Linked DNA regions of Astyanax mexicanus. The protein of the gene in region 1 interacts with the protein of each later gene in a pairwise test. Links are inferred from orthologs where the notes say so. Each region holds a gene or a part of one and is shown in the gene's direction. Other genes may lie near its edges.

Region 1 (8,068 bases):
TGGAGACCAATGGACCATGTAGTCTTGTTTCATAAAGGAAACCCAGGCAGACTTCGTAGAAATGCCTTTGACAGCTTGCACTATATATGGAAGTGTTAAAATCCAAAGCTATATCTCAGCTGCCCGCCGCTTGTCAGCTCCAATACATCAAGATAATTGAATGGCACAGGCCCAACTTCATTTCCCATCGCGCAGTTTATACAAGCTTCCCAAAATGCACTTATTATATATTAGGGATGCATTAAAATAAAAAAGAAATGTCTAAAACCGAATTAAATATTTATCCAAAGGCCGTTTTTGTACATTTTGCCTTTTTGTCACTATTGAATAAATTCAATGGCCCAAATGTTTTTCTCCCTTTTACACAAAAGGCAATTACAATTTTTATATGCAGTTTTAAAAATACTTATTGAATACTAACGTTTAATATCCCAGCAGACAAAACAACAAAGCAAAATGCATTTACCTCTGCAGTGATTTTCTATTTATAAATGTATCTCATTAGTAACATTCTTTCTAATCAAGAACTCACTTCAGCAATGCAATTTTAGTCATAAATGTACCTCAGCAGTGCTGCTCAATCACACATTTACTTCAGCTGAGCCTTTTTTTTATCATAAAAGTACCTCAGCAGCGCTACTTAAATCACAGATTTACTTTAGTTGAGCCATTCTTATCGTAAAAGTAGCTCAGCACCTCTGCCCAAGTCACATTTCAGTGAAATTTACACAGACAAGAAAACAAACAAATGCTAAATCTAAGTTAGCTAAGCTAACATAACTATCCTAGCCCTAAACTGCTTGTGTCTTTTTCAGCTGGAAAACAGCTGGCATGGTTGTGAAAGGGTCATAAACAGGCTCAGTCATGCAAAAGTACAAATTAACTTAAATCTGGCATCTCTCTGCCTTACACTCTGCGAGCTATATGTATGTAGCACTGGAATAATTTATACCCAACAACTGATATATTGCACAACTGATATATTTTAGTCATACTGAACTACTTCCTCATAGTGTTTGGATTGTTTTCAGCAGTGGGAGGACGGGGTATAGTGTTGGTGTCACGTCCTGGCCTTGTCTCATGTCTCTGTGTGTTTTCCCCACGTGACCTGTGCCCCTCTGTGTCTCCTGTCTCAGTAGTTTTCCACCAAGTGTCTCATTTGTAGCTCCGCCCCTTCCCCAGGTGTTTCCACTTCTAGTGTGTTTCATGTAAGTATAAATAGCCCTCCTCTGTCACTTGTCCTTCGTCAGTCTTTGCACCTTCACCTGTCGTTCGTCTCTCTCTCTGTGTTTCAAAGCTTCTCTCAGTGTTTCCTTGTCTCCTTTAGCCTTAGTCCCTTGTTTCTCGTTTATTTCTTGTTTTCTCGTTTATAGTTTATTTCCTTGTTTATTTCTAGTTTATTCCCTTGTATATATTCCCTGTTTATTTATTATCATTATCTCTAGTTGGTTTAGTTTATGTTCTCTGGTTTGTTTAGGTTTATGTTCTTTTGTTTCACTGTTTATTTTGGTTATTGGTTTTTGGTTTATCTTTGTTATGTGTTTACTTGTTTCTTGTTTCTTTATTTGTTATTTATTTATTAAATATTTCTTTCTTACCTGCGTTTACGTCCGCCTCCACGTCTTCCCTGCACCTCACCCTGACAGTTGGCCTGCCACCACTATTGAAAACAGTCCAGTTGTGTTCTGTATAATTGATTCTTCCACCTTTTCACTTAACAAAACTGCTTTTTAAAATCTGTGATATAATTTTTTGCTTGCCAAATATTTTTAATGTTTTGCTAGCTTTATGCTCAAAATAATTCATCGTTAAAATGCACTAGAAAGAATGACATTTTTGAGGCATTCACACTAAACAAAGAAAGGCATGCCCAAACACCTGGGGTAGATCAATTCTTCCACTCAAGTACATTTTAAGGGTGTTGATTTATCTCAGCAGCAGTCCAGTAGCTGCTTGACCCTTTCATTTCTTCTCTCATTACACGCTGCATCCCTCTGTTTACACTCCAATTATTCATGGAAATGTAGTTAAATTAAAGTAAATCAAGGACTCAGAGGTGACGCAGGGGACAATTTCATACCTCCTGCCTGTCTTGGACTGGAGTGGATGGTCTCCACAGCTTTTTTACTGCAAGACAATTATAAGGTGAATCTATATAGGGCTCCTGAAGAACCTATCTAATAATGAACATTAAAAAAAGAAGCTAATGTGTAGGGATGAGTTGTTAGTAGAAAGAAAGACGACAATAAGCATTAGTCACATGCAATTAGCAATCCAAATATATTAATTTAAACTATACAGTTTACCTATATATTTAAATCCAATAGGTCAAAATGCAACTTTCAACAATATGTTGTGCTCTGTGTGTTTTTCTTTTTTGGACCATGTTTTATATTCTTCCCAGACTTTCCAGAAAAAAATATGCAGAGAATTCAGTGCCTCAAGGGCGATAGTGACTGCAGACTGTACCCACCGTGACTGAGGCTGCTGATCGATTATGGCAGTAGTAAGTGAAGGGTTCCACTTTGAGTGCCATTTAAATTTACTTATGGGACATCCTTGCTCGGCTATCCAGTTTTACTGACCAAGTGTCAATCATTAGCTGCCCAGAGCTCAGTCTGTGCCTCCTATCAAAAAGGTTAATAGGAAACTATTAAGACATATTAAGCCTCATAATATAAAGCAAAAACAATAAAGAGCAGGTCTGGATACAAATATAAAACCAAGACAAAAGGGAATATGTTGTCTAATTCATAAGATATATACATTTAGTTGTATACATCACAAAGCAAAATCTTATTATTTTCCGCATTCAAAATTAAACCAGTGGGCAGTACACACTGCATATTCAGTATATCTTTTAAGTGAGTTTGCAACTTTTCAGTCAACAAACTGTCAAAAAAATGATTTTCACTCTGTTATTGACACTGAAGGAAAAACATACTGGCCGACATGTCTGATTCCTCCTAATCCTTTTATGAGTTAGTAAAAAAATAAAAAAAATAATATTATATATATTAATATTATATATTATATATATAAATGATATTCATTTACATTTAAATATGAAACTGCCTTTTTGGACCAGCTGTTTATTCCTGTCCCTCCGGGATAAAAATGACATGACTTTTCTTTGTTGGTAGTAAAACACCAATGCATTGAATTATGTTTTACATTGGGAATTCTAGACACATTGGTATATTTTATGGTGTTGATAGGGAAATATGTAGAACTGAAAGGTATAATTAATTTCAAATAAAACTACAAAATGTCTGACCCAATATTTTTGCTGTTTTTGACAACTATGGGCAAAATGACATGTGTAACTTAACATTTCGTGATTTTTTTCGCTAATGAATTAAAACAATGTTGATTTTCAACTTTAGAATTTTTTTGTGCATATTGATTTTACATTGTTTCAGTGTTATGGGTTTATATGCAGGGTTTTTTTTTCTTAGAACCTGTACTGTTGTTTTGCAGTGTAAAAAGGGACATTAAAAAAAACCAGGGTTGCCAGATTGTTACAGTGGGATTTAAATCTGCCAAAATGCTAAGAAAATCACCCAAACAGCTGATGTTCAGTATATCAACAACATTACAAGTTTTATTCCAACATGATCTTAAATAAAATACCTTATCTTACATCTTAAATATCACCAATTACAAAAAAAAAAAAAACATTTGTATAATGTGTATTATGTGTTTTGCGTATTGTATAATAGGACACACACACAAAAAAAAGCTCTGTCTCTGCAAGGTTGGATATTTAACTACAACACTGTTGAATCTTACAACAGTTTTTTTTTCACTTACAAACTTTTAACAATCGGTAGTTTTGTCCTAGTTTTGTCAAAGCACAGCGTTTCCTCCAGATAATTTCAATCTGGCAACATTGCGAGCCGCTACACGCTGTTAATTTCAGGTTTTCTTCATGTAGCTCAATAATGTGAGGATTAAACACGACTCAACCCCTCTCTCACCTGTGTGTGTTTATGCGACCCGATGCGACCAGTGCTGGCGCATGATGATGATGAGGGCGTGTCCGAATTCATTCCTGTTTCACCACTACTTAGTGAACTACATAGTGTCTCCCAAAGTAGCGCAACACTAATGAGGGAGTAGGGAGCCATTCCGCTGTTCTGTTGAATTGTCCTACCCATCGATACATGCTTCCCAAAGGTACTGCGCATGCGCTGACCTACACAATTTATTATTTAATTTATTTATTTTTCGTGTTTTATACACTTTCCTCCGTGCGCCGCAAAACCTGCAAGCTGATTGGCTGTTTCTCCTGAGAGGCGGAACTTTCTCACTGAAACAGCTCCGTGATTGGCGTTAAGAGAAACAAGTGACCTGTCTCCTCATTAAACGATATTGGTTTTTGGGTGGGGCAAATCCACCTGTTTTTAATACACCCCCCCCCCCCCCCCCCCCCCCCCCGCCATGATCAGTTCAGAGCTTCACTAACTGTAATTCAGAGCTCAGTTCAGTGTGTTTATGGAGTTTTAAACACGGCTCAGCCACCCGTTTTTTTTAATTGTCTAAAGTTTCATGTTAATACAAGAAACAACGATAGAAGACAGCATTAAAATAATAAAAACAAGAAAAAGTAAAGAAGAACGAAAAACAAAATAACTAAAATTATATTTTAAACAGAGGCAAGTGAGAGTTCATCAGTTCTTTTACATTTCTCGTTTTTAGCCTTTCTAAAGGGATAATAATGAGGGAGTGTCCGAATTCACTTCTGTTTCCACCATTACTTAGTGAACTACATAGTGTCTCCCTATAAAGCGCTACACTACTAAGGGAGTAGGGAGCAGCCGGGGTTTAGAGACGCCGAGAAAACCGCTGTTGCCGTGGTTCCGCTGTCACGTGACCGCTTTATTAGCTGACCCCTGCCGGATTGTAAACACCTGAGCAGGACCCTGATTGGATCAATCAGCCTCTCCTATTGGTTAAACAGTTGACCTCAATGTCGATCTGCGGATATATAGTGGGTGGAAACACGTTTAGTTACTATCAGGGTTTGTTTGCGGATTTATTTGGTGTTCCTGCTTCTGAGAGAGACTTGAAGACTTAACAGGTTTGTTTATTTATGTTTTTTTTGTTCAGTTGGTTTAGTGTAGAAAGCTGAGGCATTGCTATAATGTAATGCTTAACACTGTTACACTGCTAGTACAAGCTTGTTTTTTTTTACCATATTTGACATTTTTAGGTACTAATTCAGGCCCATGTGGTTTTAGGCAGTGGTGGGTTATGTACTCAAACTTTTGTAGTTAATCTAATACTTGAGTTAAAGTAGAGATACTAAAGGCAAAATATTAATGTAGTACAAGCTCTCATTAGACCTTACCCTGAGACAGTACTGAAATATTTACCTTCAAATATCCCATATTGAAAGATATGGAAAGCAATTGTTAGCATAACTCTTAAAACACTGCTTAATCTACTTATTTATTTGAAAAGGTGTTACTTTTTTTATACACCAGTCTCTTAATGGAATTCTGATCTTGCCTTTTTAAAATGATCAAATGCAACACCTTAAGGGAAAACTTTCCAATTGGAAAATGACAACTATACAAAATGACTATAAATTTGTTTTTTTTTTTGTTCAACCTCAACGTAACAGTTTTTGTTGTGGGGTGAATGACTAAATGTTTTACAATGACTAACATTTGTGTTCTAGAAATCACAACAATTAGTTATGGAATGTGAAACATCTAATGTTTTTTAAATGGTTAAATGCTTGAAACAGACCTGTAGAAACAAATGGTACATTTTTAAAAGGCGCTAGTTTTCTCCACATGCCTCCACTCTGTAAGATGCTGTGAAAAAACAGATTCTTCAGTGTTATGTGATGCTCTCAAGATGTTCAACCACTGCCTTTTAAATAAAAACGGAACTAGTTTGTGGACCTTGCGTTGTAATAAGCCAGTCGTTTGTTACTGATTTGTTTCTCCTACACAAAGGCTGAGCTTGAGAGAATCAAGTGACCTCTACACTGCCAGCTAGTAACCAGGAAAATGAGCTCTAGCGCCCTCGCTCCGTTTGCCAGCCGTAGCAGCCGAGAGAACATCTCTGCTCAGGCAAGGATGGATGGTCCTCGTCTGAAAGCTGGCCAAAGAGTGGTTTTGGGTGTTTTGACTGAAAATGATCACCATAACAGGACTTGTAACCAAGTAAGTCTTTGTTTGAGCCCTATCATGCCTTTTATGCTTAATTCTAAAATTCAGGGTTTTAAAGTTTTTTTTTACTTTTTGTTTGTTTTAAAAGGCTGTTCCTGTTAAACGTGGATCAGGATCTCAAAATGTGTCTGGCCTTGGAATCAACACCTCAAACCAGTCCAATTCTGCAGTTAGCTGTGTTCAGGTGGCTGAGTCGGTTGTACCAGCACCCAGGCTTATTGGGGAGCAGGGAGCTGACTCGCTTATTCTTCATTCTTCAGCACTTCAGATGATAAGTGCTGTGAGCGGCTTAAGCACAGGTTAGACTTTGTCTTTACGGTCAGCGTTGCCAACTTAGCAACTTTGTCGCTATATTTAACGACTTTTCACACCCTCCAGCGACTTATATTGTAAAAAAGCGACTAGCGACAGACGGGGTTTTTGTGGTGTTATTGGAGACTTTTGGCAACTCTGAGAAACACACATGCTCCTCAGTTACTGTCCTCAGCGAGCAGTGGGTGGTGCTGTAAGCCCCGCCCACAACACTCACAGTGCAGTCTCTCAGTCAGGGCACACCCACACCGCTTCACGAACACACTGTAAATGAACTGCGCCTCATTCACCACGTAGCCTGACACCTCGTCCAGTGTCTCCCTCTTTGTAAAAAGCTGTTCAACATCTATAATAGGTTTAAAAAATAAAGGAAACTTAAAACTTTTTTTTTTTTATAAAATAAAACACAACCTAGAATAACAGTTCTGGCTAACTGCTACTCTTTTAATAACATTTAACATGGCAAAAAACTGATTAATGTATTTTACACAAATGAATTTATTTTGAGACCTGACTGCCTATTTAAAAAGCAACTGAAGTTGTTCATTTGTAACATTTCTAACATTTAGAGTTTTTTACTCACTTCTTTTTCTCTAACAACATTAATCCTTTACAGCTTCAAAAACATGTATTATGCAGATTAGGTGATGACGTCATTTAGCGACTTCTAGCGACTTTTAGGAGAGCCAATAGCTACTTTCCTTACTTAGGAGTTGGCAACACTACTTACAGTGCTGGCTTATTTTGTTATAAAATTGTATGAATATAGCTGGAGTTTGTATGTGTACAGGATCATGCTTGGATGCTTCTATGCAGTCACTGGAGGAGGAGGAAGTGGCTGTTACTGAGGATGTGTTGTGCGTACCTGAATATGCTGAGGACATCCACAGGCACCTTCGAGAGAGTGAGGTCAGTGTTTCAGTGCCCTCAAGTCTAGCTGATGGGATTTCTGCATTAAATTGCTTGCTGGTGTGGCTCTTTTGGCAGCCTTGACAGAACTGGCAGTCGGTGCTCTGTGTGCTCTCAAAGCTGTCCGGTAGGAGTAGCAGTTTGACATGATGTGGCTGACTGGTTTCATAAAGGAGTCTAGTCTTCACTCTCCTTTAGAACTTGGTCTTTGCCCTACTAACAGTTTGCTCTTCCTTCCAGATAAGGTACAGGCCCAAGCCTGGCTATATGAGGAAGCAGCCAGACATCACAAACTGCATGAGGGTCATCTTGATTGACTGGCTGGTGGAGGTTGCTGAAGAGTACAAGCTGTGCTCAGAGACTGTCTACTTGGCAGTGAACTACCTGGATCGCTTCCTATCTTCCATGTCTGTGCTTCGTGGAAAGCTGCAGCTTGTGGGAACTGCCGCAATACTTGTGGCTGCGTAAGTAAAGATGTGTTTTTTTTTTTTTTTTTTTTTTTTTTTAAATGGTTTAAGTTATTTAAACAAGTCCAGTATTTTTAAATTATTACAGATTTGGTTTTATCCCAAATTTATGGGCTACTTACTGGTAGGTTAAGTTTCCTGGATGGTTTTGAATAGCTAAACAACCTTGGGTGTGACCGAAATGGCTCCCTATTT
Region 2 (7,724 bases), on another chromosome or scaffold:
GTCCAGGAAACTGCAGTTTTGCTGTTTGGATGTTAGAAGTCTGCATATGTGACCCATGATTAAAAAGTGTTAAAGTATTTATAGGACAAAAAATAAATAAAAAAACTAAGCAAAAGATGTTTGTGTTAGTCTTCCATGTGTGTGTGTGTATGCATTCGTGTTACTAAGCTACAGGGTCCTTCCCCCACAGCTACATTAAACTGTTCACCTTCTTGCCGCTGGCGGAGGTGGAGAAGGTGATGGAGCAGCAGAGACGGGATCCAGGCAAGAGAACGGCCCACAAACGACTAGCTGCTGAGGTTACCAAACTGGTACATGGCAAGGATGGTCTAGAAACTGCCAAAAGGTGAGAACATTTTTTATAACATCAATTCATACAGTACAATGCAAGTTAATAGAGAGCCTATTTAAGCCGTTGTGCCATGAACATGAATAAAACCACTAGAATGTATGTACAAGAGTGAATGCAAGAAAAGGTTTAAAATCTTAAATGAATATAATAAAACTTATTTGTGCATTTTTGCCCGTAAATATTTTGGTTTTAAAAAGATGTGGCTATTGACGTGCTGATTGGTTGGCAAACTGATTACGTCATTGGCCAAGACAACTATTAAAACATAACAGGAATGTGGAAGCATTGCGTTATTCTGTATATAAGAAAGATTGTAATTGTTTCATTAATCATTTACCAATTTCAAATCTCAGTGGAATGCAGATTTTGTTTTGAGCAGTGTAAGATAAACTCTGTGTGTTTGTATTTGTCCAGGTGCACTAATGCTCTGTATAACAGTAGCATTGAAGCTCTGGAGCAGATGGATGATGTGGAGCTGAAGGAGTTGTTCAGAGAAGCTCCGTTTAAGGAGTTCTTTTTGGAGCCAGGCACCACAGTACTGGATGCCTGTCGGAGGGCCCAAGTCATTCCTGAAGGACCTAAAGGGTACTTTTTAATTATTTGTTGATATATTAAACTGTACTGTTTATGCTGCTATCAAAACCCTGTTGCTCACCTGCCATTTAATTTGGAAGATATTGGGGTAGTTTCTCAGGCAGGGATTAAACCCAGGTTTAGATTACGCAGCATTTTCAATGGACAACTTTTCTTTGAAAGAAAATTATAGTCTACAACTAGACTCAGAAACTGACCTATTGAGTCCTGTTTACCATATTTTTGAACTGCGCACTGAATCATAAGGAGCACTATCAACAAGCGTCTATTTTCTGGTCTATTTTCATACATAAGGCACACCTTATTATAAGGCGCCTTAAGGAACACTAGTAAGAATGCATACTTATTAAGTAATAATTCAGTTCAGTTCTGATTCAGTTCACCTCTGAGGGTGCCTAGGTAAACAAAACTCTTAAAACCGAATTCTTTCAGAGTCAAACGAGCACTGGATTAGTGCTGGGCAGTATGACCGAAAATGTATATCACAGTATTTTTCAAGATTCTATCAGTGTTTTTTTTTTTTTATTCATTCATTGTATGACTAGGCTTTTATATAGGTTTGTGACTTAGGAGTACATAAAATAAAACACTAAGGCTTTAAATTAAGTCTTTGATTACTACTGGATCTAGTTTGTCTTACAAAATTAGACAATATATGAAGAAATCAGATTTTATTAGCAGAAAAACAGCTGAAGAATATAAACAATAGACCTTAAATACGCCATCATCTTTAACAGGACTTCCTTTTAAAAAAAATAGCTAAATATTTTAGTTCCATAAACACTATAAATGGACCTAAAATACTCATTAAGTATTCAAATGAGATATTTCTTAAATGTTCTATTGCACAAGTAAGACACAAGTTTAATATCAATTTACAATGTTTTTTTTTTAATCCATTAGAGGCATTAAAGTATTACAATCAGCCACAATTCCCTTCTTTCCCCAGTTAACAAATAAAAGGGCTATATATAGTTAGCCCTTTCTAATATGGGTGTTTCCATGTTGTACATTCAGTAATAAATTAAAGGACTGGGGAATGTGTTGTCTCCAAAAACGTTTATGTCTATGATGCTATTACAGATGTAATTGTTCTTTGTGATAACACGCCACCTTGAGTGTTTTATTGTTCTACAGTAATTCAGAAAATAAAGACAGAAAGAAGCTTTGATATCAGCAGTTTCTTCTGAAATGTCTGTTCCTCTTTATAGCATTCCTTTTTATTATGTATTTATATACTATGTGTATGTTTTTAGGTTTCAAATGATAACAGACGGCGGTGTTTGGTTCAACCACCAGAGGGCATCCAACCCGGAGCAGGTCCTGGTTCCCGGACAGCATATACTTTCCAATGGACTCAGTTTGATCAGAGTGGGCAAGAAGAACTATTACATCCTGAAGTGGCTCAGTATGTGATTTACTTACACCGAAGCGAATGTCTATATTTATTTAAAGAAATATGGATAAAAGATGCAGTGTGCTGCACAATGACTAACAATCCATACACAAATCGAATTATGCGGGACCCACAAAGATTTTGGGGCGTGTCAGACCACTGGCAGGAGGACAAGCAAAACTACACTAAATCCTGAGTTGATATAGAGAAACAGACTGGCAGAGGATAAAAAGGAATGAAAGAGGAGAGTGTGCACATTTGTGTCTTTACACACTTGTGTGCACGTATTTCAGAAATAGTTGTACTGTTTGTGTGTATATGTAATTCTGAATCACACCACCAGATGTCAGTAAAGGCCTTTTCCATTTTTTGTACAGGTTTTCTGTGTTTCTGTTTTATATTTATTGTATTATGGATGCTTTCCAATTAATTCACTCTATCTGCTTTAGGACCTATTCATCTTTTTATGATCTTTAACTTTGTTAGAATGTCTTTAAAAAAATCAACTGATCTGTTGAACTGTTTCTGATGCAATTCTTTTCAGTTATGTCTTACAGCCCATATTTTGCTTACAGCTAAAAACACGTTATACTAACAGCAATAAAATAAGGTTATATAAGAATTTTAGGATGGCCCAGTCGTATTCCATATGCTAAAATAATTTTTGCCCAGTTTAATTTTTACACTAGTTGGACATTTCAATACTGAAACTGTAGTTGGTTATAAATACAGTATAATGTACACAATGAGAATTTGTCTTACTGTAAGCATGGTTATGGTTTAAAAAAACTGAAAGTTGGAAAAATAAGAAAGGAAAATGGTGTGCCACTGACTTTTATGCAGTTCAAAAAGTGTGTACTTTGCCTGAGCTTTTAAAAAAACAGTAAACAAAAAAAGAAGAAAAATATTATTTTTCCCCCAAACAAACACCAACAAAATCCAACTTAAACCTAGGTAAAAATGCTGTGAGTGTGGGTTTCTGTGCTTTGCTCTGTGAACAGTAACTGTGTTACTCTGTTTGGCTCATTGAGACACACCTATGTCCTAATCAGAGTAGTAGTATTCCTGGAAGAGTCATTTCACTGGTGAACTTTTCACTTCCAGGAACAGACACAGTTCCATTTTTGTTTGCTACGTCTCTTTATTTCTCTCTGTCTACGGAATGCCCCAAATGACTCAGTGTTCGGTATTTCATATTTAAAATTAAACATAACCAGTAACAAAAAAACTGTGCAAATGTTACATGTGTTAATAATTAGACTAACATACTTTTGCTTTTTAATTTAATCAGCATGTAAAGTCTTTTTTTTTTTTTAAACTCCTGGTGTTTTCATGTAGCTACAAACCCCCCAGAGATGATGCATGTGTTTTTACAAATATACTTTCTAGCTTTGGTTGGTTTTGTTTAGAGCTGAAGCTGGATGTGGAGTTGTTTTATTCAGGGATCTATTCAGGAGTGTCAGTAACAGGGTTTTATGAACTGCAGTTGCTCTGGTTGGTTATAATTATTTTAAGAAGAAACAGAAGAAGGCTGTGTGCAGCTTGTGTGGACGGTGTTGGAGAGGTGGTGTGTTGGTTGTTGTTAGTGTAGTAGTAGTAAGCCTACCTTGCAGTGCTGCGTGTGTGTCTGTTTTTTTTTTTCTCTCTCCTCAGGGTGGGGGAGGTGCGCTGTGCCGGAGGAGCTCAGCGTAGAGGGGGCGGGGCCTGTGTCGTCCAGCCAATCAGCGAGCACCTCCGTTTAAATAGCTCTTTGTGTCAATCATTTTTCTCTCCACTCAGCCTCCCCTCTATCGCCATATTGGGCACCGAAAAGCCTGCTGTTATTTTCTTCCCTTTTACTACGAGGCGAGGCTGACAGGAGTGCGCACTTCGTCTCGCTTTGACTGCGCTTTGTTTTGATGGTCTGTGGAGGGGAATTTCTCTCGGCGTGTGTTTTTTCCTCGCGCTCTCACTCTTGCAGAGCATGCACGCGCTTGTGGCGAGTACAGCGTGTGTGAGCGTGAGCGTGCGTGTTTTTCTGGATGCCTGCTGCTGTTGTTGTGCAGCGCGTTGAGCCTGGAGGAAAGCGCCTGTTTTGAGTCGCTGTTTGTATCGGTTATTTTGTGGGTTTTTTTTTTTTTTTTTTTCACACGCCAAAAAATAAATAAAAATAAAAGAACGATGTCTAATGTGCGTCTCTCGAACGGAAGCCCGACCCTGGAGAGGATGGACAACCGGCCGCCCGACCAGCCGAAGCCGAGCGCCTGCAGGAGCCTGTTCGGGCCGGTGGATCACGAAGAGTTAAAGAGGGAGTTAAAGGGACACTTGATGGCGATGGAGAAGGCGTCGACCGAGTCGTGGAACTTCGACTTCTCCAACTTCACGCCTCGGCGCGGCCGCTACCTGTGGTCCCCCGTGGACAGCACGGACTTACCGGGCTTCTACAGCTCGACAGGGAATAAGAGCGTGGATGTAAACGGGAATCACGAGCGGCTCGCGGAGCGGAGCGAGACCCAGACCGAAAGGAGAGACCCGCAACAGAACGTCAAGAACAAGAGAAAAAGACCGTCGTCCCTCGGTACGCAGTGCTAGATCTTATTTTTGTTTCTTCTGTGTGGCGAAGTGAAGTTGTTTTTATTATCTTGTGTGGCGAGTAGAAAACGTAGCTAGCTAACGAGTTAGCCAACTAACCTAAACTCTAACTAGCTAGGTTAACCGACGTATGTAACGTAACGTTACGAGTGTGTGTTAAAGTACCTTAGCAGAAAACGTAAATTACTATTTTAGCCAACTAAACTAAAGCTAGGTAGCTAGTTATCTAACCAACACGCGTACGTGTGTTTTAGTCCGTGTTAAAGTACGTTAACTAACGCTGCGAGCTGTCGTTAGTTTTTTCGTAATAAGTGATCAGCGTTCACAACCTCTTCATTTCAAAATGTAACGTATCCAGGTAAACTAGCGCTACTAGCTGTCCTAGCTAACGTTAGTTAAGTTAACAAAATTTTAACTCTTAATTTAGTAACGTATATTTATTAAAATGTGTTACTGATAAAATGGCGCTTTTACAAGAAAAGTAAAAAAATATAGTAACTTAGTTACGTTAGATATAATATGGCTTTATAAACTATCTCCACTAATTTAAATAAAGATAAAATAAACGTATTTTTAGTTGCATTAGATACATATTTTTAACGTTGAAGACAAAAAATCATTAACGTTAAACCTATCATTCAACTTCTACCCAATATTATTTAAATGTCAATGTCTACACTGCAAGAACACAGTACAAGGTATGATATATAATGTAAACAAGAATAACATACATGTTTGATGTAACCTAAGTAACTGTTATAGTTTAATACAAACAGTTGCTACATATTAAAACAACGTTAAATCAACCTTAAATAATCGCTGCGCACGAACAGATCAGTCCTTACGTCTGAAACTAACGTCGTTTCAGAGCTTTAAAGATGGAAAAATGAACGTTGGTTCAACGTACTTTTGCTGTCTGGCTACTATTTAATTGCTATTTATATAATTGCTCTGGTTTTAGTTTGTGTATTATATATTTGTGTATATATAGCTATAGCAGAGCCGGCCAGGCAGTTAGAACAAAATCCTACCTGTACTAATAGTAATAGTAAAATACTTAACTAGCCGATCTAGCGTTAGTTAGTTTATCTACATTTAAAACTCCACAGCTCGCTAACAAATATACAATGGTCACAGTCTAATAGGTACTTCTTTTTTGTTGGAGTTAGTCAAACATGTCTAGCTCCATTTGTAGCCAGAATCCCTCATTGTGTGTTTTATTTATTTTTTTTATTATCTTTCTAAATTAGATTCCTCGTGTCAGACTAAACGCTCGCGCACCTGTGTGGATGAAGTCTCGTGCCGGCCGGGTTTGACCCAGGCGCTCGATCACACACCCGTGAAGTCGAGCCCCCAGCGGCAGACGTGAGCGAGCCGTGTTGAGGTAAGGAGAGCACCACGTCACCTCACTGTACTCAAACACCACGAGAGCTGATACTACACTCACTGATGGCTATCTGTGTACTGGTCAAAGTGGATCAAATTACACTCCCTCGCTGAATTTTACAACACTGTTTAGCTATGTTCATTTATATTTGCCCAGTTTGATAGGCCTGTCACAATAATTACATTATTGACTTATCGCACAGTATTATGTACATGACCTAAATCATTTTCACTGACCTCAATGTTGTCTGTTGAATCTACTTGGCTCACATTTTAAGTGAACGAGCCATTTGTTAAAACATTTTTTCTGTTTCTGTGTCTGATGAATATATTAAAATCTCTTTCTCATTAAAAGTAATGTGTAAATACTTTTATTTCTATTATCATTAAATCAATGAAATAAAATAGTCTTAAAATTACAATAATATCATTGCTATTGTTTGTGGGGTCTATTACGAATTGGTTATCGTGACCAGGCTTACACCCAGTATTGTAGCAATAGATTCAAAATGGTTGCACATAAACAAAAAAATAAAATTAAGGTAAATGTTTTTACCTTTTGGTCTTAGGTGCTGGGAGCTGGATTACCTTTTGTTTTGTTTTTTTGTTTATATGATATATTTTTTTATTATTTTATCTTATTTTAAACATTAAATGTATTATAATATCTCTTAACTCGTCTTAATCACTTGTCTGCATTCGAGTTAAGGATTCGCATGTTTTCTTCACTCCTGCCGTGCCGTATGTTATCAAACTTTGAGCATTAAATGTCCTTTCCATATTTCATTATGTTTAAATCTATTTATGATTTGTGCAGCTACAAGGCTGTATTTTAACTTGGAGACACTTTTTCGTGTGTTAGCTAATGAGTTGATGTATACCTTTTTATTGGTGGTGGTTGTTACCTCAGGGCTGATGTAGAGGAATTAGCTAGCTGTCAGTTTGAGTGTTTACACAGACTTACTAGTCAGGGCACAGAGATTAGCTTTGGCAGTTGTGGGAAATAATCATATGCCGTTTTAACACAATGATGGTATTAACGTGAATAGTAGGTTTTGTGCAAAATTGGAAGCGAAACTGTAGTTTCTAGTGCAGTTTAGTATGTCTTTGGTGTGAATATAGAAACTCAGATTTAATGTACAGCTACATGGTTCACAAGCCCACATTTTTAACATGAAAACAAATTTACACTTTTTTTTTTAAACATGTTAAATGTTGTTTCTGTGTATCTAACTTAGTTAAAAATTCTTACTATGTATTTTGTCTCCTGTTCTCTTTTTCAGAGCTGAAGACTTTCTCTCCCTTCTGACGGCTTCAGTGCTTGGCGAATTAAGAATTCGAGGAGAGAGGAACGATAGGAAAGCAAAAGCATATCGGCTGTAAGAGTGGAGAGACTGCACAAGCACTGAAACAAAAACACAAAAG

The links. The genes of interacting proteins can lie anywhere in the genome.
Region 2: the proteins of ccna1 (region 1) and cdkn1bb interact in binary tests that used the Homo sapiens proteins (3 or more experiments, as listed by UniProt). The link is inferred for Astyanax mexicanus from reciprocal best matches to the Homo sapiens genes CCNA1 and CDKN1B.

Annotation. Positions count from the first base shown.
Region 1 is NC_064427.1:39,500,080-39,508,147, reverse strand, and holds the start of ccna1 (cyclin-A1), read left to right. Parts: upstream 1-4,904; 5' UTR 4,905-5,083; intron 5,084-5,969; 5' UTR 5,970-6,023; coding exon 6,024-6,179; intron 6,180-6,273; coding exon 6,274-6,484; intron 6,485-7,287; coding exon 7,288-7,406; intron 7,407-7,646; coding exon 7,647-7,870; intron 7,871-8,068. UniProt on the Homo sapiens protein: May be involved in the control of the cell cycle at the G1/S (start) and G2/M (mitosis) transitions. May primarily function in the control of the germline meiotic cell cycle and additionally in the control of mitotic cell cycle in some somatic cells.
Region 2 is NC_064409.1:49,296,732-49,304,455, reverse strand, and holds the start of cdkn1bb (cyclin-dependent kinase inhibitor 1Bb), read left to right. Parts: upstream 1-4,132; 5' UTR 4,133-4,502; coding exon 4,503-4,899; intron 4,900-6,163; coding exon 6,164-6,282; 3' UTR 6,283-6,297; intron 6,298-7,582; 3' UTR 7,583-7,724. Other genes in the region: yars2 (tyrosine--tRNA ligase, mitochondrial), read left to right, coding at 191-346, 767-937, 2,203-2,362. UniProt on the Homo sapiens protein: Important regulator of cell cycle progression. Inhibits the kinase activity of CDK2 bound to cyclin A, but has little inhibitory activity on CDK2 bound to SPDYA. Involved in G1 arrest. Potent inhibitor of cyclin E- and cyclin A-CDK2 complexes.